Linked DNA regions of Lepisosteus oculatus. The protein of the gene in region 1 interacts with the protein of each later gene in a biochemical or structural test. Links are inferred from orthologs where the notes say so. Each region holds a gene or a part of one and is shown in the gene's direction. Other genes may lie near its edges.

Region 1 (7,446 bases):
CGTTTTCCGCGTTATTAACGTACTGCGTGGAACTGTCGGAGCCTGTGGAATTACAACCGTACCGACACGCTGCCTGTGTTTCAGTCTCCTTTCCCAGGTGACGATGAGGAGGAGGTGTTCGACAGCATCGTTAATGATGAAGTCCGTTACCCACGATTCCTCTCCACCGAGGCCATTGGCATCATGAGACGGGTGAGGTTCTCCCCTCGGCCAATCACAGGCCGGCCTTGTGCCGTCAGCCACCTAGAAAAGGCAAATCACACACCAGCTCCTGCTGTCGTGTCTCTTATTAAATGAGAACCCATTAGAAGAACTTAACAAAAGGTCAGAGATGAGAAGACGCTGTTCAGCACACTGAGTTTGCTTGCCAGGGATTTGTCCCGGGATCTTATCCAGCTGTTTCTGTTATGGGCTTGAGCCACACAGCTGGACCTCCTCTTGGCCTGTGGGGGTTGGCCGTGGTCCACTCATGATTATTGTGTCGTCCCACTGATGCACTGTGGGCACTGTCTGTGTGCAGCTCCTGCGGAGGAACCCAGAGCGCAGACTGGGCTCCACTGAGAGGGATGCCGATGATGTGAAGAAGCAGCCCTTCTTCAGGGTAAGCGTCTCACTGTCTAGCTCTCTCTCATCATCCTTGTTCGCTGTCTGTAAGCTCTCCCTCATTCTGCCCTCTGGTGTCTAACCTCTCTCTATCTCCGGGTTTGTGTGTCCACTGTCTGGATCTCTCTGCTCTCTTCCCTCTCTGATCTTTATTCCTTATCTCGTCCTGGCTCCATCCATCTCCCAGGGGGTAGATTGGGAGGTGCTGTGTCTAACCAGTCTCTCGCTCTTTCAGGGGGTGGACTGGGAGATTCTGAGTAACCTGTCTCCTCTCTCAGGGGGTGGACTGGGAGGTGCTGAGTAACCTGTCTCTCTCTCTCAGGGGGTGGACTGGGAGGTGCTGTGTCTAACCTGTCTCTCTCTCTCAGAGGATGGACTGGGAGGTGCTGTGTCTAACCTGTCTCTCTCTCTCCGAGGATGGACTGGGAGGTGCTGTGTCTAACCTGTCTCTCTCTCCCAGGGGGTGGACTGGGAGGTGCTGTGTCTAACCTGTCTCTCTCTCCCAGGGGGTGGACTGGGAGGCGCTGCTCCAGCGGCAGGTGAAGCCGCCCTTCGTGCCTTCCATCGTGGGGAAGGAGGACGTCAGCAACTTCGACGAGGAGTTCACGACAGAGGCGCCCACCCTGACCCCACCCCGAGAGCCCCGCCCGCTCTCCCGCAAGGAGCAGGAGAGCTTCAAGGACTTTGACTACGTCTCCGACCTCTGCTAGCCCTGCTGCGCCTGGACAGAGGGGGCGCTGTCTGCCTGCCTGTCCGTCTCGGCGCTGCGACCGAGGGAGACTTTGGGCAGTGTGTCTGCCCCTGGACACCTGGACCCTGGACTGTTCCCAGAGCGCTCCCTCCTCTGCTTCCCTGCGCGCTGCCTTCGTCCCTCTCCCTCTCCGGACAAGAGGATGTGGATTAGGTCAGCGGACTCTCGGGAATGACATATTCCCGCGCGCAGGCCGAGCTGCAGAGAAGGGGAGAGGGAGAGGTGACGGGGTTCGAGCAGAGACCCAGCCCCGGTGCGGCAGCTCGTGTGGCATGGGTCCTCAGTGAAGGAGGGAGGAGGGGACTGAGCAGCACAAGGTGTGGTAGGGTGGTGGGCAGGCAGTGTGCCTTTTCCGCCTAAACACCGAGAGAGAGGAGGAGGAGCAAGAGACTTCCGGTTATACTGTGATAGAGGTGGTGAGGGGTGGGGCTGTAGCACCGACCGAAGCCTTAACGTTTCGAGAGCTGTCTTGCGGGGCTGGCATGAGTAGAGCGAGAGGTTTGCAGACTGAAGCCTGCAGCGCTGGAGGAACGAGTCGCTCCAATTATATTTTTAAAATGCTTTTAGTACGTGTGTGTGTGTGAACAGGGGGGGGATCGAGCAGAGCGGATGAGCAGGACATGAAGGAGACACAACCAGCCGGGATCGGGAGTGGTCACTCCAGACCCGATTCTGAAGGTCCGGTTCATGTGGAGAAGGAGTGGTCACTCCAGACCCGATTCTGAAGGTCCGGTTCATGTGGAGAAGGAGTGGTCACTCCAGACCCGATTCTGAAGGTCCGGTTCATGTGGAGTAGAAGTGGTCACTCCAGACCCGATTCTGAAGGTCCGGATCATGTGGAGTAGAAGTGGTCACTCCAGACCCGATTCTGAAGGTCCGGATCATGTGGAGAAGGAGTGGTCACTCCAGACCCGATTCTGAAGGTCCGGATCATGTGGAGAAGGAGTGGTCACTCCAGACCCGATTCTGAAGGTCCGGTTCATGTGGAGAAGGAGTGGTCACTCCAGACCCGATTCTGAAGGTCCGGTTCGCGTGGAGTAGAAGTGGTCACTCCAGACCCGATTTTGAAGGTCCGGTTCGCGTGGAGTAGAAGTGGTCACTCCAGACCCGATTTTGAAGGTCCGGTTCGCGTGGAGAAGGAGTGGTCACTCCAGACCCGATTCTGAAGGTCCGGATCATATGGAGAAGGAGTGGTCACTCCAGACCCGATTCTGAAGGTCCGGTTCATGTGGAGAAGGAGTGGTCACTCCAGACCCGATTCTGAAGGTCCGGATCATATGGAGAAGGAGTGGTCACTCCAGACCCGATTCTGAAGGTCCGGATCATATGGAGAAGGAGTGGTCACTCCAGACCCGATTCTGAGGGTCCGGTTCATGTGGAGTAGAAGTGGTCACTCCAGACCCGATTCTGAAGGTCCGGATCATGTGGAGAAGGAGTGGTCACTCCAGACCTGGTTCTTGTGGAGCTTGTGAAGGTTTGAAAAGTTCTGTTATTATTTTACAGTAAGTGAAATTTTAGTTTCAGGATTTAAAATAATATTAATGATGATATTAACAAAGTTGTGTAAATTATACCGAGTACATTATGCAGAAAAAAAACATTGTGGAAGTAGTGAAGGACTGAATGATTAAATTTTTATTTTTACTCTTAATTTTCCTGTTTAATGTATCTTTTTTATAAAGGGCTTTTCTAACACAAGTGTGTTTAGTGTCACTGGGAAAACATACAGCAAGCAGTCTCAGGAATCTCTCTCAGGTGACCCAAAGATCCATGTCACCCCAAAATCAGCATTGTACCAAATTGTCCCCCAATAATGGGATCTTATTGAAACCCTTCCAATAGGAAGTCTCCTGTTTCCTGGACTGGTTTCATTTAACCTTGGCCAGCTGTGCAGTTCATGTGGAGTTTTTACAGAAGGTTCCTGCAGGATTTACTCAGGTTTCACAGAGGATTCAGGCCGGATTCATGCAGGGTTCACAGGGGATTCAGGCCGGATTCATGCAGGGTTCACAGAGGATTCAGGCCGGATTTATGGAGGGGTTCACAGAGGATTCAGGCTGGATTCATGCAGGGTTCACAGAGGATTCAGGCTGGATTCATGCAGGGTTCACAGAGGATTCAGGCCGGAGTTACGTAAGGTGCAAAGAATTTATGCAGGGTTCACAAAGAGCACATACAGGATTTACGCAGGATTCACACAGGCTTTACAAAGCATTTACACAAGATACACAAGGGGATTGCAGGATTTACCAGGTTTCAAGCTAGATATATGCAGGGTTCAGAGAGGGTTCATGTTGTATTTACACAGAAATTACACGGGGTTCACAGTATTTACACAGGGTTCATGTAGTATTTACACGGGAATTACAGAGGGTTCACAGTATTTACACAGGGTTCATGTAGTTACACGGGAATTACAGAGGGTTCACAGTATTTACAGAGGGTTCACACAGGATTTACTCAGGGTTCACAGGAGATTCAGGCAGGATTACTCAGGGTTCACAGGGGATTCACATGGGACTTACACAATTCATAAAGGGTTCATGCAGGATTTGTGCAGTATTCACAGAAGGCTGGTTCCACAGTCTCTAGTCTGTATTCTCTCTCCTCTCACACATACTGTCCACAGTCTCCTGTCTGTATCTCTCCTCTCACACATACTGTCCACAGCCTCTGTGGAGTGACATCTTTCCCCATAATTCTGAAAAAAATTCACCCATGATACAACAGCACTAATGATAATGATTAGAGATACAATGTGTTCTATGATTATACTCTGAAAATAAAATTCTACAAAATATGTTGATTTGTCAGTCCTCCAGGACCACGTGAGGCGCTCTAACACGGCATATTACTCTTATTTTAAACAATTACAAAAAGTCCAAATACAGTGTTTGTCTCCACAATGGTAGAGTGCATTCCTCTCATAATGTCAGTATCATTGTATTTATTGTCATCATTATTATGAGGGTTGTCTCTGTCGGTTCGTAAATGCTACACTGTCTGGATATCTATGGCACCGGATAGTTGGTAGTGTAGTCATCCACTATCCCAGCATGCCACTTAGGGAGAGTCTGTGGAGAGATTGTGCGCACTCGGTGGTACCTCTCAGTTTTTCCAAAATGTCGTCGTTGGAGCAGAGACTCTCCCGAATCGAGGAGAAACTAAAACAGGAGAATAAAGAAGCGCGAAGGCGCATCGACCTCAACATCGATATGAGCCCGCAGCGTGCCCGACCCCGACCCAGTGAGTCTTGGAGCCGGTAGAGCCGGGAGCGGTGGTGGGGGTCGGCAGGAATTTGGGACAGGGACGGGGAGAGGGAGGGGAACGAGGAGGAGGGGAGATCGAAAATCTGTAGACATTTCTACACAAACCGCAGCGCCCGCCGGACCCCGGGTGCCGGACGGGTCCGGTATTCGGGACCTGAAGCGGACACGAGTGAAGTTCCTCTCCGGTTTGCGGGTCTGGACTCGGACCTGCAGGCCGCGGCTCTGCCTGGTCGTCCAGTCCCGTCGCTTTCCGGCGCCGCTGTCCGGTTTCTTGTTTTTTGTTTTTCAGTTTCATTTCATTTTCGTGCTTAGTGGTTTAAAATGTGACCAAGGAAGCGGCAGGGCGGCCCTGTCGCCTCCTGTAAACACCGCAGCCGTGACGGGACCGCCGTGGCGCGACCTTGTGACGGGTTAAGTTACGTTGCAGCTTCTGTCTTGGACTTGAGCACAAAGCTCAGCAAGACGTGTGAAAACATCCGTACGGGTGTCAGCTCCTGTCTCGCAGGCGTGTTTGAGAAGGTCTGTAGGTGGAGGAGCTGTCTTCACTCCGCAGAAGAGTGCCGGGATTGTAAACCCGTGTGTTTGGATTGGCTTGCGTTTGTCGGTCATCTGAAATAGAAAGTAGTCATTCGGCACGTTAAACGTGGTTGTCTGTCTGACAGTGGCATAGTTTACTGATATGCACAGAGCAGGACAGGGAGAGACAGGAGACAGGACAGGATCCCTCAGTTCTACATGTGCAATAGGACAGGAGACCAAGGAAGTAACAGAATCCTTCAGTGAGAAACACACAGTAGGACAGTAGACACTGGAGCTAAAACACTGACACCATAATTATAGATGAACACACCGAAGGAGTTGTTTCTTCTATCCCGCCTGCTGGGTTTGTTGATTGTAGAAACAGCATTTACTCGTGGGGTCACTGCGAGAGTAGCTGTTTGTGTGCAAGTGATGCAAAGCGGTGCACACGGCGATTACAACTTTGTATGCTGTGGTTTGCAGTGTGCATAGCTGTCTGTGGATATACAGTGTGTATATTTCATTATAACTGTGTGTAGCAGTGTACATTATGCACAGCTGGTTATAGCAGAGTGGACAGTGTGTGGAAGTGGACAGTGTATACGGCTGGTTATAGCAGACTGGACAGTGTGTGGAAGTGGACAGTGTATACGGCTGGTTATAGCAGACTGGACAGTGTGTGGAAGTGGACAGTGTATACGGCTGGACAGTGTGTATAGCTGGTTATAGCAGACTGGACAGTGTGTGGAAGTGGACAGTGTATACAGCTGGTTATAGCAGACTGGACAGTGTGTGGAAGTGGACAGTGTACGGCTGGTTATAGCAGAGTGGACAGTGTGTGGAAGTGGACAGTGTATACGACTGGTTATAGCAGAGTGGACAGTGTGTGGAAGTGGACAGTGTATACAGCTGGTTATAGCAGAGTGGACAGTGTGTGGAAGTGGACAGTGTATACGGCTGGTTATAGCAGAGTGGACAGTGTGTGGAAGTGGACAGTGTATACGGCTGGTTATAGCAGACTGGACAGTGTGTGGAAGTGGACAGTGTATACGGCTGGTTATAGCAGAGTGGACAGTGTGTATAACTGGTTATAGCAGAGTGGACAGTTGGTATGGCTGGTTATAGCAGAGTGGACAGCGTGTACAGAATTGGATAGTGTACGGCTGGTTAAAGCACTGGACAGTGTGTATAGAAGTGGACTTTGTACAGCTGGTTATAGCAGTGAGGACAGCTGGTTATAGCACAGTGGACAGTGAGGGTGGGAGTGGACAGTGAGTACAGCTGGTTATAGCACAGTGGACAGTGAGGGTGGGAGTGGACAGTGTGTACAGCTGGTTATAGCAGTGCAGTCTCTAAGTATTTGGACAATTTTGGTTGTTTTGGCTCTGTACTCCAGCACATTGGATTTGAAATGAAACAATGACTATGAGGTTAAAGTGCAGAATGTCAGCTTTAATTCGAGGGTATTTACGTCTATATTGGGTGAACCATATAGGAATCACAGCCCTTTTTATACATAGTCCTCCCATTTCAAGGGGTTTAAATGTAATTTGACACATTAACATAATCTTAAATAAAATGGTCATGTTTAGTACTTTGTGGCAAGTCCTTTGCAGTTGATGATTGCCTGAAGTCTGCCATCCGTAGACATCACCAGAAGCTGGGTAACTTCCCTGGTGATGCTCTGCCAGGCCTGTAATGCAGCCATTTTCAGTTCCTGCTTGTTTCGGGGGCTTTTTGCCTTCAGTCTTGTCTTCAGTAAGTGAAATGCATGCTCAGTGGGATTCAGGTTGGGTCATTGACTTGGCCAGTCAACAACGTTCCACTTCTTGACCCTGAAAAGCCCCATAGTTGCTTTGGCAGTATGTTTGGGGTCGCTGTCCTGCTGCAAGGTGAAGTGCCGTCCAATGAGTTTTGTGCCATTTGGTTGGATTTGAGCAGATAAGATGCTTCTGTACACTTCAGAATTCATCCTGCTGCTGCTGTTGGCTCACTTGTCTTTATTGGTGATGTGACTGCCAGTTCTACTGGCAGCCATACATGCCCAAGCCAAGACACTACCTCCACCATGTTCCACAGTGGTAGATCCTGGAGAGTGTTCTCGATCTGTTCAGCAGTCGAAAAGGGGTTTTTCTTCACGATTGACAGTATTTTTCTGTCATCCACTACTGTGGTCTTCCGTGGTCTACCAGGTCGTTTGCTGTTGCTAAGCTCACCAGTGCGTTCTTGCTTCCTAACAATGTACCAGACAGTTGATTTTGACACACCTAATGTTTTGGCTACGTCTCTGATTGGTTTATTCTG
Region 2 (7,893 bases), on another chromosome or scaffold:
GGTTGTTGTTTTTTACCCTTGAATATAAAATAATTACAAGAGGACCTGATATTTAAAATCCTCTAAAGGCATTGCCAGCCCAATGAAGTTCTTCAGAATGAACAACAGAAAACAAAATACAGGACACAAGTGGAAACTACGAGGAAGTGCTTTTAAAACCCAAGAACAAGAGGCCTCTTCCCCAAAGGATTAAGGGAGTATGGAATGATATCCATCCATGTGGTTAAAGCCTTTACCTTCAAGAAAGGTCTGGATAAGCTCCAGCTACTTATTACCCAACAGTCTAGACGGGCCAAATGGCTTTGTCTCATTTGTAACCTTTTTTATGTTCTCATGTCCTTAAAAGCCAGAAGACACAGGGGTCCCTCAAGACCAGCGATGAGAACCACTGGAGTAGACAGTATGTCAAGAGCTGGTAAATCACAGCCTGTTATCTTGGATGCCATTTTAAGAACTTTCTTGTGCTGACATTAATCATGTTTTCACATGGCTCCAAGTCTCACTGATGGGAAAACTTAAGTGCACTCTCTGTATTCAGCAAAGTGAGTCATAATAATCAGACTTACCCCACAAGAAAAAGAAAAATCGAATGCTGTTGTGCTTTGTGGGAGGGAGGGAGAAACTGTGAGAGCGTGAGTATTAAATAAATGTTGTTTTTTTTTTTAGAAAGTCCTTTCAGATGCTCTGGGTGTGAAGGGAACCGTGAAAAAAGAACGGCATCTGTATATGGTGGGGCAAACTAGAGTCCATGTAGACACAGTTGAAGGCCTGGGGCACTTCATGGAGCTGGAGGTAAGTTAACTAACAGTCCCAGCTTTAGTGTTCACACTGATTCTAGGGAGAAGTTGAGGCCTGTGTTGAGTGTTGTGGCTGTTTAATGTTCTGTATATATGATATTCTTGCAGAGTATTTGTGGTATGTATTGAATCCAGATGATGCATTATTGAAGTTGCATCCATCAACCTAATTTATAATTTCCTTAAGAGAACTATGCCATGTTGTGTGTCCTTAGAGTTCTTTAATCTGAACTCATGCACACTATAAAATAGTTTTAAAAAAAGTTTTTTCATTATATTGCACTTCATTTTAGTCATTTTAAAAATCACTAAAATGTAGGACTTTTCTTCACAAACCATGTGATACTGATTTTGATCTCTGATAAGATGTAGATCGGACTCTCAAATAAAATGACAGTGAAGGAAATATTAAATTAGCACGTAGTTACATATTCATATATCTTGATTAAAAAGAATTTGTTTGCTTGCATTTCTGTTTTAAATTTCAGATTTTAGAGGAGATCATTGCAGAGTTATATAAAAACAGAGCAACTTAAAGTTTGTATATCAAGTCAGAGATTTAAGTTCTTAAACAGTATTTCCAGTATTATGGATTTATGTATCAACCACAGGTGGTGCTGAATGATGGACAAACTGAAGAAGAAGGAGAAGCTATTGCCCACAAGCTTATGGATGAACTGGGAGTTAGAAAGGAGGACCTCATTGTTGGAGCATACATGGATCTTTTATTAGCCGATAAGAAGTGTTAAATATGACAATTAGTAAGGCATAAGTAAATGCAGTTCATTTTGTAATGCTTTTACAAGCATAATAAATAGATGAAAATACATCTATCTAGCACTTTTTTGTTATAGTGGCTGACTACTGTCGTTATTAATACATCTGTTGAACCATATGTTTGACAGTATCAGGCTTTATTTACTTCTGACTCAAGCATAAGCCAGTACCAAGTTTAGTAATTCATAGAGAACTGATTTCCACTAAAACCACAGTGGCTAACTGAAACAACCAGAAGGTTACAAAGTTTCAAGCTGCTTGCACACCCACAGTTAAGACATTTCACCTTCATCAACAAGAAGCTCCTTACACAGGATAACTGAAAGGCAAAACTACCTTTTTAATCAAATCAAAGCATAGAATAATATTGCTCCACTGCATTTTATATCTTCACTACCTTCACCAAAAATGTGCTTGACTTCTATTCACCCTAACCCTGCAGTTAAATATTCCTTATTTCAGTACAGTGCATATTATTTTTAATCAACATGATGTTGTGCCTATAATTGGGTGTTGGGAAATGTATTGGAGATGTTTATATATTTCAAGTGTAACATCAGAGTTTTAGTACTCTGTAACATTTATTTTTGCATTGTATAATTTCATTCTGTGATGTAATATTCATGTTCTAGATGTTTGTTAAGCCTGATGATAGGATTAGTGAAATACTTTCAAGAAATAAAAAACTTTGAAAGGAATGAGCACATTTCAGTGTGCACTTTACTTCTTATAAGAAATATCTCTGATTGGCTTGCCAGTCCTGGTATGAGATGAGTTATAAATGATTCAACCTCATGAAAACATGAGATAAACACACCTGTTCTGCAATAGGTTAATAAAATTATGTGACTTTTCTTTAGGATATCCAAAAGATACAGCTCAAACTTTGAATAAGTGTTTAGTAATGAGTGATCTGAGCCTCATTTTGTTATGTGAAAGTCCTGAAAATAATTACAAGTGCTGTGTTAGTGTATATCATACCACACCTTCAAATGCATCTTGGTGTTCTATAAAAAGAAAGCTGTTGAAAAGAGATTGCTGAATTTATAATCTACTGACAAAGGATAAATTTGAAATTTTAAATCTGAAATCTATTATTTGGTGAAAATTGTCTATAAAACCACCTTCAAAATAAAAACTTAAGTTACTTACAGTGATTTGATTATATTTTGTTCACAGGAATGGGTCTTTTTATCCTAATCAAATTTCATCTAGCGTCACGCTAAAGGATAAATTAATGCTCTTATTATTTTTTGCTTTGTTTCCTAGTACATATTATCTGCTTTATTGCTTCTAAAATAGCTTTTAAAGAAGCAAGATATTTGTGTTTGTATAGTATATATAAACTATCCCATTCTGTATTCTTACAAGCATCTCTTTTAATTGGAAAGTAGAACTGCTAATTTCTTATTATTCTATGTGTATTTTAATGCAAAGATCCACAACAATGAAGTCTCAAATAATGTTTGAATAATTGCATATTTTTATTTCTAAAGATTATAGATCGAAGACATTATGAGGAAGACATTGAACTTGAGTAAAAGATCTTTGTATGGAATACTTTTAGTTGTGTTATTTTTATAGGAGTGACAGCACTATGCCTTGTGCAGAAGTTACATTACGTGAATAAGAGTCTCTAAACTGACAGTGTGTACGCAGTAATGGACAGGTTCTCTTTTCTAGGGTGTAATAACCTACCTATCCGTCTTATGGTCCTGACATGCTCTGGGTCAGCGTGACACTAGAAATAAGCCGCCATTCGGTAATGGATGGATGGAGTTTGAATTGAGGTAGTACACAATTAAGATAATAGTTAAGTGTTGTAATACCTTATTTCTCCATAGGTGGCTCTCAAATTCCTACACAATTTCAGCACCAAAGGCGATAGAACAGCTCTATGCTTCGACGCATACAACAGATTTTAAAAGTAGGTACTGCGTAGGCTGCAAAGGAACAAGTAAAGGTTTATTCCATGCAGAAAAGGTAAGAAAAGAATCAGCTTTTCGGAGCCTCCACATCCGAAACGATATGTTTCTTTTCTGCGTGGAATAAACCTTTACTTGTTCTTTACAACAGGTTTTTTGCCACTGCGCAGTAGTTTTAGTATGCTTATTTAAAATGCATCTTTTTTAATTCATTGATGTGTCTGCCCTTCCTTTGGACTTTGGTGTTCTGTAAAGGAGTGGTTGATTATTGAAAACGGATGCTTGGATGTATCTTTGTAAACTTGTTAGTGTTAGTCAAGACTCGTCACCGGGGTGCACTTGTTAACGCTTTTATTTAAGGTCAGTATGGTTTATATTCCTACAAGAAATAGTGCTGGCCTCACTAAATCAAGATTGCGGACCATGTTCCCACATTAAGACTGTAAATACTCTTCTGTATTCAAATGCAAAATACTGAGAAACTAAAATAAACTCGAGTATTGCCTCCATGGTTTTGAAGTCGGTTATTTCCATGGTTTTGAAGTGTTTGGCAATTCTTCAATGCTGCCAAGTGCTAATCTGCCATGACCACATGTCAAGTACTGTTTTAACACTTTACTTCAAATACTATCATAACGAGTGCTTAAAGATGTAGAGCTTTTTCTAAAATGTCTGGGATTTCTAAAAAAACGTACATGGCTACATACTGTAATACAACGCGCGCTTAATTAACTCACCAGCTGCTTCTTGAAAGGATAGAAGTTGTTACAGACTCCAACAACTCCCGTTTTCAGTTTAAATGCGGTCCAAAGGAGCTGATTTGTGATTCATTGGTGAGTCTGACCGATCGTTTAATTTTCTTTCCACTCCTATAAATGTAGACATACAATATCAACAGAGTCGTACACGATGGTTACTGTATCTGGTATAACTTTGACAGAATCCTCAGTTCAGGAGTAAAATGTTACTCCAGGATATATCTGTGGTGCTGAGTCAGTGGTTTTTAGACCAATTAAAGAAGAAAGACATGCATTTATGCTCTGAATAATTGTGAAGTGTTTGTCAGCGCATTCCAGTATTACTGTACGTGATGTCCATGTAATACAAAATCTTCTCCACCCACAAACAAATCAATCTCAGTCATAATATTCACAAGCCATCAGCAAAATGCAACCTATTGTACGTTTTTTCGAAATATAGAAAAATGCTATTAAACGCGCATAATCATAACAGAATATGATAATGCTGGATGATACATCTTGGTTTAAAATGTGGTCTGTAGTCTTAAGTACGACCATCCGCAGTGCTGTTTCCTGCTTTGCTAGTTCAGTACAGATTTTTACCTCTTGCTGTTTGATATACTGTACATAGTATTGGGGGAGCTTGGTGTGCGTCCTTTGGAAGGGATAGAGGCTGCGCTTGATTTTTTTTACAAGAGCTTGCTGTTGCATTCCATAGCTCTGATTCTGTGAGTACTTAGCGCTAGATCTATGCAGGTGTATGGCAGTGTTTAATCCACGATTATTTAAAACAACCATTTTCCTAATCAGCACGCTCTTCCTTTCCTTTTTCCCCAAGAGGATTATCTGGATTTTCTGATCGTAGATAAATGTATCCGTGGTACAATTAGTTCATGTTAGTGACATCTGCAGTGTTGCCACAGAGGGGGGCGAAAATTCTTCGCTGATCATCATCCCTTGATCCGGTTTGCCTGCACCCTCTCTGGCTGTGAATGGGCTGTGCTTTGTGATTATCTGCAGTCACTTTTGAGTCATTTCTGGAAGAAGATGGCGGACAGGGCTGAGATGTTTTCTCTCTCCACCTTCCATTCCCTCTCTCCTCCAGGTTGCAGGTAAGACTGCTTCAGCAGCAACATTTTCATTTGCGATAAATCAAGGACATAACGAAAACTCCCGGGCGCTTTGCTGCAGAGGCCAAGGCTGTCGCGGGAGGAGCAGTAGGAATGTCACTGGGTGATGCTCTCAAGTACCGCTACGACAGGTCTGTTGATTCTGGCGCATGGGAGGGTTGGATGGGGGGAAAGCCGTACATTAAAATATTAGATTTGTACTTTTGCTTTTATTATTGTTTCGATATTATTGCTTTCTTTCATAACTATATTTCCAGTGTATATATTGTAGCGTTGCAAGTTTTTTTATTTACCAATTGCTTCTGTAAAATAACACCAGTATTAACATTATATTTAAAAGGAGAGAAATAACCTGAAAGGATATCAAACGGTTGATTCTTTGTAATTCTTTGCTTTACACACGGTTATTAATTGTATTTATCAGACGTTCGAGGAGTTGCTTCTCAAGAGGCCCACGCCCTATTAGATGCATACATGAAGCCTCCATAGTGATGTATTTATTTACAATTATAATTGAAAGAAGGACCCCACTGCTGACATAAACCGATCACTATGTCTGGACTGCTTAATTCTTTTTTCGTCGATTTTAAAAGAGGACTTTGACCCGTGATGTTTATGATTGCTAAAGCTACCTATCCGTAACGTTTGACTTAATGCATATTCACTAGAACGAAATAAAACTTTGTTGACAGCGCACCTATACTGCAGAACACAAAAGAGTGAAATGTATAAAGTTGTACATAAAACTAATAAACCATTTCAGCACCTATCTTTCTATATTATCTCTTACTTGTTATCATGTGATTTAAAAAGACTAGAAGTGGGGTATTGAAGTTGAAATGGGTTGTATGAATGAATGTGAATTACAGTATATATCATAAAAAATGCTCATGCTGTTCTGAAAATAACCCTAATAAAATAGTTTAGTATGAACAGTAATTATATTAAAATGTAATTTTGTGTTTGCTTTTGTAAGGAAAGCAGCTTTTGTAGACATTTGTACTGAGCCATTCCAATTAGGGGTTGTATTCTAACTATTTTGATGAACACAAAAGTCCAGCAAGCTGCGGGATAATCATATTTTTGCACATTGCTCCAACAAATAATTTGTATTCACCCTACTAGGTAAGCATGTCCTCTTAATATGTATTTATAAACAACTATTTGTATTCATAAATATTGACGCAGGGCAACGATTCTGAAGGATTTACTACTGAAAGCCGTCTCTCTTTATTTGAGGCATGCTTCAGTGTGTGTGTTTGCACAATCCACATGCCACTCGGTGTCAGGCAGGGAGTGAAATCTCCCTGGCCCTTGGGGTATTGCAGGAAAAATAAGCTTTGGCCACTTCACAGTCTGAAGCAGTATAGTATTACTTTTCCCCCACCTTAACATCAGAAAATCAGTTCTATTGTAATCTTCAGTGAAGGTGTACCTCTAGGATCCATATTCTTAAAAGGACCACCATTTTGATTTAAACAACGTTGACACTTCCCTTAGGGCCATCAAAAAAAACAGCCCATTAAGGAAAGGCTGAAAGGAATGTCTGTAGAATTGGAGCATGATTTTTAGGTGGTGAGGAGGAAAAAAAACAGGATACATAAAATTGGAAGGACAAAAATAAATGCAATAAAGACAGTAAACAATAAATTACCTTCTCTATGCTCTACAGTTTTCATAGAAGAAAATATATATTGTAAGTTCAGATATTACTCTAGGAGGGTTTTTTTTTTGCTAAAAATAAAAATGAGAATAGATTTTTTTGATCCCAAAGGGAAATTGAGGTGTTACAGCAGCCCACCCCAAGACAAGCAAAGACAGATATCATAACAGACGAAAAATTAAAATAAGTATAGCAATACAAAATAAATATATAGAGTTAGGTGTGTGCAAAATATGCTCATAGTCACTGTAAAACAGTAAAATACGTGCAAAATGCACATAGGTACTGTATATACAGATTGAGTGTCCAAAAAGTACAATAGTGCAACATGCTGTCCATAGATGAGCAGATGAAGGGCAACAGTCCTAGCCTAGGGCAGTGTAACACACCCTGACAGCGGCCAGGAGGAAGGACCTGCAGAAACGTTAATATGAGAATATAAGTAGGTGAAGTGTGGTGGGGATTCTTTGATGTTTCTGAAACACTCACTGTTAAATAGAGCCATCACATCTTTTATTTTATAAGATCAACTGCAGTGAAACTGAACAACAACCCAGTCTCAAGTTACATGCTTTCCTCTTACGCAGGGGTATCACATATTCGTTTTCGAAACTAAATGAAAAATAAAGTGGTATTTTCAGTTTATCTTACACTTCTGTTTCAGTAGAATATTGGTCAGATTTCAGCAGGTTTTCACAAAATATTGGTCAGTGCAGAGCCACATCAATGAGACTTTCCAAGCACAATGGTGCAGTCATTCCCAATTTTATTTCCCTGTCATTCTGTATTTGTGTTCATGTCATGTCATAGGGAAAACAACCCTATCGGATATAGGTCTGTTTCATGCCAGACAACCAAAAA
Region 3 (7,378 bases), on another chromosome or scaffold:
CCAATCCTGAGATTAAGGTCTAATGGCCCATCACAGTGTCCCTGAGCCAGCCTGTCTCATGTAAACGAGCAGGTCCGCACAGCAAGAGGGCACCGGAGCCACGTGTGTGGATTGGAGACCAGGGCCTCACTCAGACAAGGGGCAAAGGCCAGATACAACCCGATTGGCCGGTTTCTGATTCAGCCAATGAAAGACATAGCTGGTAATCCCTCAGCAGGGTTTCTGGGATAGGAAGCAGGGGCTAAAGTACCTTTCAGGAAGCGCTGTGGGTATCAGAAGCGAGCTGCCTGGGCAGAGCACACAAGCTGCCCCCTGGGAGGTCTTCTGACAAACCACTGGGTGAAACTCCGGGACCAACAGGCAGCAGACTTCCAGGTAAGCACCAAGGCCCAGTGTCTTTCGCCCTCGTGTCTTTCGTTGGGGCAAAAGGAGAAAGGAAATGTCTTCTGTCAGAAGGCTTGTGGTACCTTGTGTGAGCTGCAGCTGTGTGCTGACAGGCCAGCTCCTTCTGTTCCCCTCGCTTGGCTCACTGCAGCTCCCCGACGAACACTCCTCCTGTGCCCAGGACACAGGCAAGGTGAACAAACCTCACATTGAGGAATCGGAAAAGCAGCCCAGCTCATCTGATTCCAGTCACCTTTTAGGGTATTTCCTGCTATTTCCTGGTCCAGGTTTGTTTTTTTCTCCAGAAGCTCTCATTTTCTAACCACCAGGAGTTCGGGAAGGGCACTATAAACAGGGGGTCACAGGTTCAAATCCACCTGGTCCCTCCAACTGGCACCTTCTAGCTACTCCGTGGATCCTACTAGTTGCTTAGTTGGTCGGAACTTTATCTCCACGCCAGTGAATATCATCAGTGTTTTATCAGTGTTTATTTTCTTAGAAAATGTTTTTAGCCATTTAGAACTTCAGAGCACACTTTCAAAGTGTTCGAGGAACTCCAGATCAGCTCCACGGCTGAAAGCAGACCTGCTTGCAGTTTTCCCCGATCCCATGATTTCCAGGGAGAGCGCAAGTTTGAGCTGTGATCGGAGAGGTCGAAGGTCGGGCTTTTAGCACAACTTGCTGTGCCGTTTACTCACATCTATAAAGAGAGCTTTCAGACCGCGACTTATGAATCACAGGGGCCCTAACAAAAATGTCTATGGCACACTGCATTTTACATCGAATGCTAAAATAGTTTCTTTTGTTCAGGGCAATTCCATGTTCCTTTACAAATTACTTCTGGTGGGGGGAGGCAGTACAATTGAGCTATTCTTGTACGTTCTCTTCCGTGCGTGGGTGAGAATAGGCACCAACTTGCACAAGGAGACCCGAAACTCGCCCACTCCTGACTGTTTCCACCACTCGTGTGTTTGTGAATTTCAAGGTGAAAGACTACCTTGTCCCAGTGAAGCCGGTGAGCAGCCGTGGGTATCGGGGATTACCTAGCGCTGTTGCACTGATGTCGGTAGCGTGAAATCGACGCCCAGACAGAAGGAGCGCAGATTCACTGTCAGGGGATCAGGACAGTAAGCGATCGTGTTGGCTTCGTATGAGCACTGTCGTGCGAGTACCGGCCAGCTGCAGCCTTCGTGCACCGATACCATTTTGTCAGACCAAAGTGCTGAAATATTTAAAGCAGTTGTGCCAGTCTCGAGGGACACGGAGAGAACCCCCAGTGTCTGACTCGGTACCGCACCTCCGCGGGACACTTCTCTCCCGCTCCCCGACCACATTCCCAGGTAGACGAGTACAGGAAATGGGATCATTTGTTGTCTATGCCCTCCTCTGGTTAAAATCGAGATTTAAAAGCGTTTTGATGCGACTACAACAGCAATATATAAAATTCTATGATTTGCGACCCTGTTTTCACCTCTTCCTCAGATTAAAGTAGACGTCTTACGGTAGAGTGACGGTCATCTTTACGGATATATCTGCAGAAGATATATATATATTTGATATAAATCTGCAGAATGTCGTTTTTTGTGTGTCGGCGCGTCCGGTTATAGTCAGGACAGTTAAGGAGCGCTAACTCCATCATGACACCGAGCCGGTGTTGTTTGTTTCGGGGGTCAGTAGCTCCACGGTGTCGGCAGCGCTGATGGCGATGGTGACTAACAGACGTGATCGACTCCTCGTTCTGTCTGGTTAATGACTACATGATCGGACTGACTCATCCCCCACACACAGCCCCCTTCAGTCCGTGTCTCCGCAGAGAATGAAAAACACGTCCTTCCCTCTCACACACACACAGAACAACAACAACTGTGTCCAAACACCGTTAAGAGCAAGACCAAGCTCGCCCCGGGCTCGGTTTGAGGTGTGTGTGTGTGTGAACACTGCCCTGCTAACACGAGCAGAACACTCTGTCCTGAAGCACCGACCTGCAGCCTCGCAATTCCGACTCTGACAAAAGAAAGCGCCTTCCTCCGTTTCACACCTCGCTCAGGCGCTTGGCACATCAACCTGGATTTCCGAACGAAAAACTTTGAACTTCTTTCCGTTTCTTCATTTACATGTGTCGGGCGCTTGCTGTAACCGGCTGTTAACAGCTCCGGTGGCGCCTCGCAATTGAAATATGTGATTTTACCAATACGATCTCTAGCCAGGGCGAGAGGCGCCTCGCTTTAAATCGTGGACACTTCAGTCGTCAAGTTTGCCATCATTGAGAAATGGATTTAGGAAGCCGCTGACCTCGATTGAATGCCTTGCTACGTCTCATCCTACCCTGTACGTGGCAACCGTCTTATGCTATTCCAAACACATGCGCTCCAGAAGTATCTCGACATCAGTTAAGGTTATTTCTTCTGAGTCCTTCAGCGAAATTCACCCATGAATTAAAACCCGCGTCTTTTGAATTGAAATAAAAATGAGAGATCACGAGAAAAATAAATGACCGCTTACATTTAAAACATACTCATGCGACAGTCAATTAAACACATACAACTGACCCTATGAGACACTTCAGAAAGACGCATTTTCTCATTTTCGCCTGGAAACAGTGACAGGCAGGTGGCAGCACGGCTTCAATTATCAGTTGGCTAAATGCGCCCACTTTCCACCAGAGGGCGATCGCGGGCCGAGATACTGAGCCCCGCCGCGAAAGTGCAGCGTCACGCAATCCGGTTCAGACTGTTAGCAAGTTGCCGTGCTGGGGAGCAGTTGTTAACTCAGGGCATGTTAGCCACGTTAATCTGTTACTGTTATCATTCGTAGCAACCATTTTGACTGCATTTCATTGCAAATTGCTCTTTCACACAGCAAACTGTTGCAGTCAATTTATTTTAAAGATTATTTTTTTTCTTTCCAATAATAGTAAAATTATTTTTTTGTGTGCAAGCCTCACGAAAAAACACAAAACGTTACTTAACAGAAGAAGGGCAAATAAATTGTGAGGGCTATTACCCTGGAATTACCTCATGCTGGAAAGTTCATGAAAGTTGCGAGGCGTTACAACATGTACCTGCAGTGACTGCCTGTGACCACTAGGGGGACCCCCCGATAACAAAGTTAACGTGGAGCCGGTTTTCATTTGAAAACTCGGGGTTGCTGCAGTGTGATTTGGACAGTTGCTTATCAACAGTTACTGTGCACGGCACACAGCAATCGCAAAGCACAAAGAGAACACCAGTCTGCATCTAGCATTGCAACTCTTCCTAGTGTGCTTACTAAACCTGTTTTGTTGTACTGAAATTAAAAACCGATCGTGATTTTTCATAACTTTGTTATGGAAGTTGGGCCACCACAAAAACCAACAGAAATTAGGTATGCGAACACTGAAGCCCAGTGAAGACAGCGTCAACAATGTAGTGCGTGTCTCTGCGCCTCGTCCATGAAATCGCAATTAACCTCACAGGAATGCGGACGCGACGACGCGCAGGTTATGAAAATTCCAGGTAACACATCTAGAAATCCGGTCTTGCTTTCTGGAAACTAAACGTTGGAGGATGCTGCAGGTTAAAAAAAAAAAACACCCCGATACATCTAGAATAATACATGAAGTCGGATCGCGACAAGTTAATCATATGACATTCTCAGATGAGGCTGTTTTATCCTGTCACGCTGCCCTGTCAGTTGCACAACGCGTCCTCGGTTCTGCATGAGGCGCAAAGTCCCCCTCCTAACACGAGGAAAGTCAGGTGCTTCCAAAAAAGACGCGATCATAAGATAAGCCGAGTGGGGTCTGGTGTTGCAGTCCCCTTGCTAGAGAAGAGACACTGGGCCAGTACAGAAGCACGCAAATCCCCGAAAAGTATCACTGTATTGCTTTGCAAACACCTTTCAAAAGTTTCATGCAAGCGAACAGGTCCTCGCTGTCGACAGAGCTTGCAGTGAGCCGACATTTCAGATGTGCTTTTATTTACCGAAGCTCCTGCAATTATTTTCCTACTATTTTCACTTTTGTTCCCGAGTGAAAAACGGCGTAAGGAAACAGTCCGGGAATTCCAGAGGATTCGAAATTCAAACAAACACGGGTGAATTTCTTTGAGGGGGGGGGGGGAGAGAGAGGCTATCGCGCCCCACGTGGGCTCAGAGCGATACGTTCGTACGGGCCGCCCAATGGTTGCAAAGGCTGAGCTCGCTCTTGAAATCCTCTGGCCAATCAGAGCAAAGGGCTGCAGACCCGGCCTCGCCCACATGAAAAGACAATATATAGTCGTCTGCCGCCGAGAATATCCCAGAAACTAAGCGAGCGGACTTGGATATACAAACCGGTTTATTGTAACTCAGGCGATCGGACTCGGTTACAACGACTCTGAGCTGCAACGTTTGGATTACTCAGCCAGCGAGTACCTTGTTACACGGGATTTTAACTTTGGAGTTTATCTGGACATTGTGGATTACAACAATTTATATTTCAACATGACTCTGGAAGAAGTCGTTGGATGCAGTATCGCTGACCAAAAGTAAGTAAACGCTCTAAAGAAGTTTTGAGTTTCACTCACCTGAGCGCTGTGCTTTGCGACTGCACCTTGTAGCCGGGTCTCTCTTTGACTGTGTAGGGCTGCACATCGGCTCCTGCGAGCTCTGAACAGCTGGGATCGCGCTTAGCAAGTCCTAACCTCGGCTCCCTGTTCTCTCTTGCAGGATGGAAACCGTGGCGCAAGCTTTGGAAGAGCTGCTGGTGACGGCTCAGAGACAGGACAGCCTCACGGTGGGGGTCTACGAGTCTGCAAAGCTAATGAACATGTAAGTATCCGTTCATCTCATCGGCCGGGTACGTGTGATGAAGAGTCGAGGTGTCTGTGCTTCCACGTCTTGTATTATTGCACCGTATTGTGCGTTAGGGAGGTTGCAGAGGAGTGCAAACTGAAACTTAGCGAGCGGGGCGGTTTGCAGAGCCCGGTGCCCGTGTAGTAACGCTGTATCTCCTCCGCCCGCAGCGACCCCGACAGCGTCGTGCTCTGCATCCTGGCCACGGACGAAGAGGACGAGGACGACATCGCCCTGCAGATCCACTTCACGCTGATCCAAGCCTTCTGCTGCGACAACGACATCAACATCCTGCGGGTGTCGGGCGTGCAGAGGCTGGCGCAGGTGCTGGGCGAGGCGGGCGCGGACTGCAACGCCAACGAGCCGCGGGACCTGCACTGCCTCCTGGTCACTGTAAGTGTCCTACAGCGCTGTGCCCGGGGTGCGGGAGGGGTAGCAGACCAGCAGTCGTGGCTGAGACGCAGGAGGTGCTCATTCGCGGTGCTCATTCGCATGCTGGGCATGTGTCTCTTCAGTCCGGGTGCAACATTCAGAGCTGGCACCCGTGGTCCAGAATCGGCATTTCTTAGCGAATTCGGGGGCATGCAAAACGGGGTGGGAGGTCCGGGGTTGCTCGGAGCCGCCCGTGAGACGAGCCGGCAGCTCGGCAGTATCGCGCGTCACATGGCCCCGTGCTTTCAGTTTCGGGAATACAGGCCAGCGTGCTAATGATCCGCCTTCTCCCCTCCCAGAATCCGCACACCGACTCCGGGAAGAGCCAGGCGCTCAAGGCCGTCGGCAGCTACTGCGAGGAGAGCCGCTGCCAGAACCAGTGGGTCCCCTTCCTGGCGCTGCAGGAGCGCTGAGGGGCGCCGGCGCCCCAGCCGAAGCGGAGGACAACAGCGACATTCTCGGGGGAAGGAAGGAAATAAATAACTAAAAAAATGTTAGGGTGTATTCAACAACACACACACAACCGCACGGCCCTCGGCTTGCAACGAGCAGTTGGAAAGGAGCTGGGAAAGAGTGGACGGGACAGGGCCGGGCCCGGAGGCCGCGGTCTCGCCGCAGAGCGGAACAGCCCTGGCGGGGGACGCCGAGGGGGAACCCGGCGGGCCGGCGGGCAGGGCGGCGGAGCAGCGCCGTGGTGCGACGGGCAACCCTGCCAGTTTCACAGCGCCGAGGGGGTGGCGGCGGCGGGAGGGGAGGGGGGTTAGACTGTCGTGACGATTGCCTTGCCTGTTGCAGTAGGGGAGACGTGACACAAACCCAAAAAATCCCCCGGACACACACGGTGGAGAGGAACGGCGCTCTGACTAACATGCAAACCGGCAGGAGACGGCAAACAAGAAACCTGTGGGAGTGTGCGAGCAGAGCGGGTTCAGCCGCTTCCCAGTACACGGACTGCAAGTGACTTTCAAAGCTCATGTCAGAACCCACACCAGCACTCCCGCTGGTTTCGCAGCGATGTGGGTGTTGAGGGACATTCACATGAGCAGTGCAAGCTGGGTCTGGAATGTATTGAAGTGTCGAGATGAAATAATATATTCATTTTTCTATTTATGAACGTGTTTTCGAATGCCAGTTTTCACTTGTTTTGTTTTTAAATAAATTATTTGGATTGGAAATTGAAGTTCTTGTCTCTTTCTATTGGCTCTCATGCTGATGTGGCTCTTCTGGGGAGAATGGGTGGGGGTGCACCCCCATTGGTGGGTTTTGGGGTTCAACATTGCACAGTAAACTCCAACAGTGTTTCAAACTATTGCACTCGTAGCAGTGTGCAATAAGCATACATTTATTATCCCTTTGTGTTATAATTCAAGCTCATCCTCTTATTGCAGAACAGCCTAATGCTTCAGGAGCTGTTCTGGCCTACAAAATAAAGATTCACTAACTCATTGAAGTGAGGCTGGATCTCACTTACAGAAGCAGAGCTCCAGTTTGGAATAGTTCCCAGGGTACAAAAAGGGCACCTCGCTCACAAAGTTGCATTTCTAATCCTGTTGCAAATTTTCTTTTTCAAAAGACTTGCAGGTTCCACAATTATGAAATGAAAGGACAATGGGGGCCTTTTTTTCCCAAAAGGGATGTTTGTGTGTTCTGGGGGAGGAGGGTGAACTATTGCTTTGTATGCACATTTCATTTTAAAAAGGAAATGTTTCCGATACAATACCCTTTTCAGAATTCAGATATCAGGTGCTTT

Evidence for each region.
Region 2: the proteins of map2k7 (region 1) and mapk8ip2 form a complex in vitro, tested with the Homo sapiens proteins (2 studies listed by BioGRID). The link is inferred for Lepisosteus oculatus from reciprocal best matches to the Homo sapiens genes MAP2K7 and MAPK8IP2.
Region 3: the proteins of map2k7 (region 1) and growth arrest and DNA damage-inducible protein GADD45 beta form a complex in vitro, tested with the Homo sapiens proteins (2 studies listed by BioGRID and IntAct). The link is inferred for Lepisosteus oculatus from reciprocal best matches to the Homo sapiens genes MAP2K7 and GADD45B.

The regions. Positions count from the first base shown.
Region 1 is NC_090706.1:13,862,147-13,869,592, reverse strand, and holds the start of map2k7 (dual specificity mitogen-activated protein kinase kinase 7), read left to right. Parts: upstream 1-4,383; 5' UTR 4,384-4,410; coding exon 4,411-4,600; intron 4,601-7,446. Other genes in the region: pkn1a (serine/threonine-protein kinase N1), read left to right, coding at 85-192, 521-601, 1,110-1,313. UniProt on the Homo sapiens protein: Dual specificity protein kinase which acts as an essential component of the MAP kinase signal transduction pathway. Essential component of the stress-activated protein kinase/c-Jun N-terminal kinase (SAP/JNK) signaling pathway.
Region 2 is NC_090702.1:14,099,408-14,107,300, reverse strand, and holds the start of mapk8ip2 (C-Jun-amino-terminal kinase-interacting protein 2), read left to right. Parts: upstream 1-4,818; 5' UTR 4,819-5,286; coding exon 5,287-5,351; intron 5,352-5,377; exon of another isoform or gene 5,378-5,462; coding exon of another isoform or gene 5,463-5,500; intron 5,501-7,893. UniProt on the Homo sapiens protein: The JNK-interacting protein (JIP) group of scaffold proteins selectively mediates JNK signaling by aggregating specific components of the MAPK cascade to form a functional JNK signaling module.
Region 3 is NC_090724.1:1,678,621-1,685,998, reverse strand, and holds growth arrest and DNA damage-inducible protein GADD45 beta, read left to right. Parts: upstream 1-4,675; 5' UTR 4,676-4,845; coding exon 4,846-4,889; intron 4,890-5,070; coding exon 5,071-5,172; intron 5,173-5,366; coding exon 5,367-5,589; intron 5,590-5,927; coding exon 5,928-6,041; 3' UTR 6,042-6,803; downstream 6,804-7,378.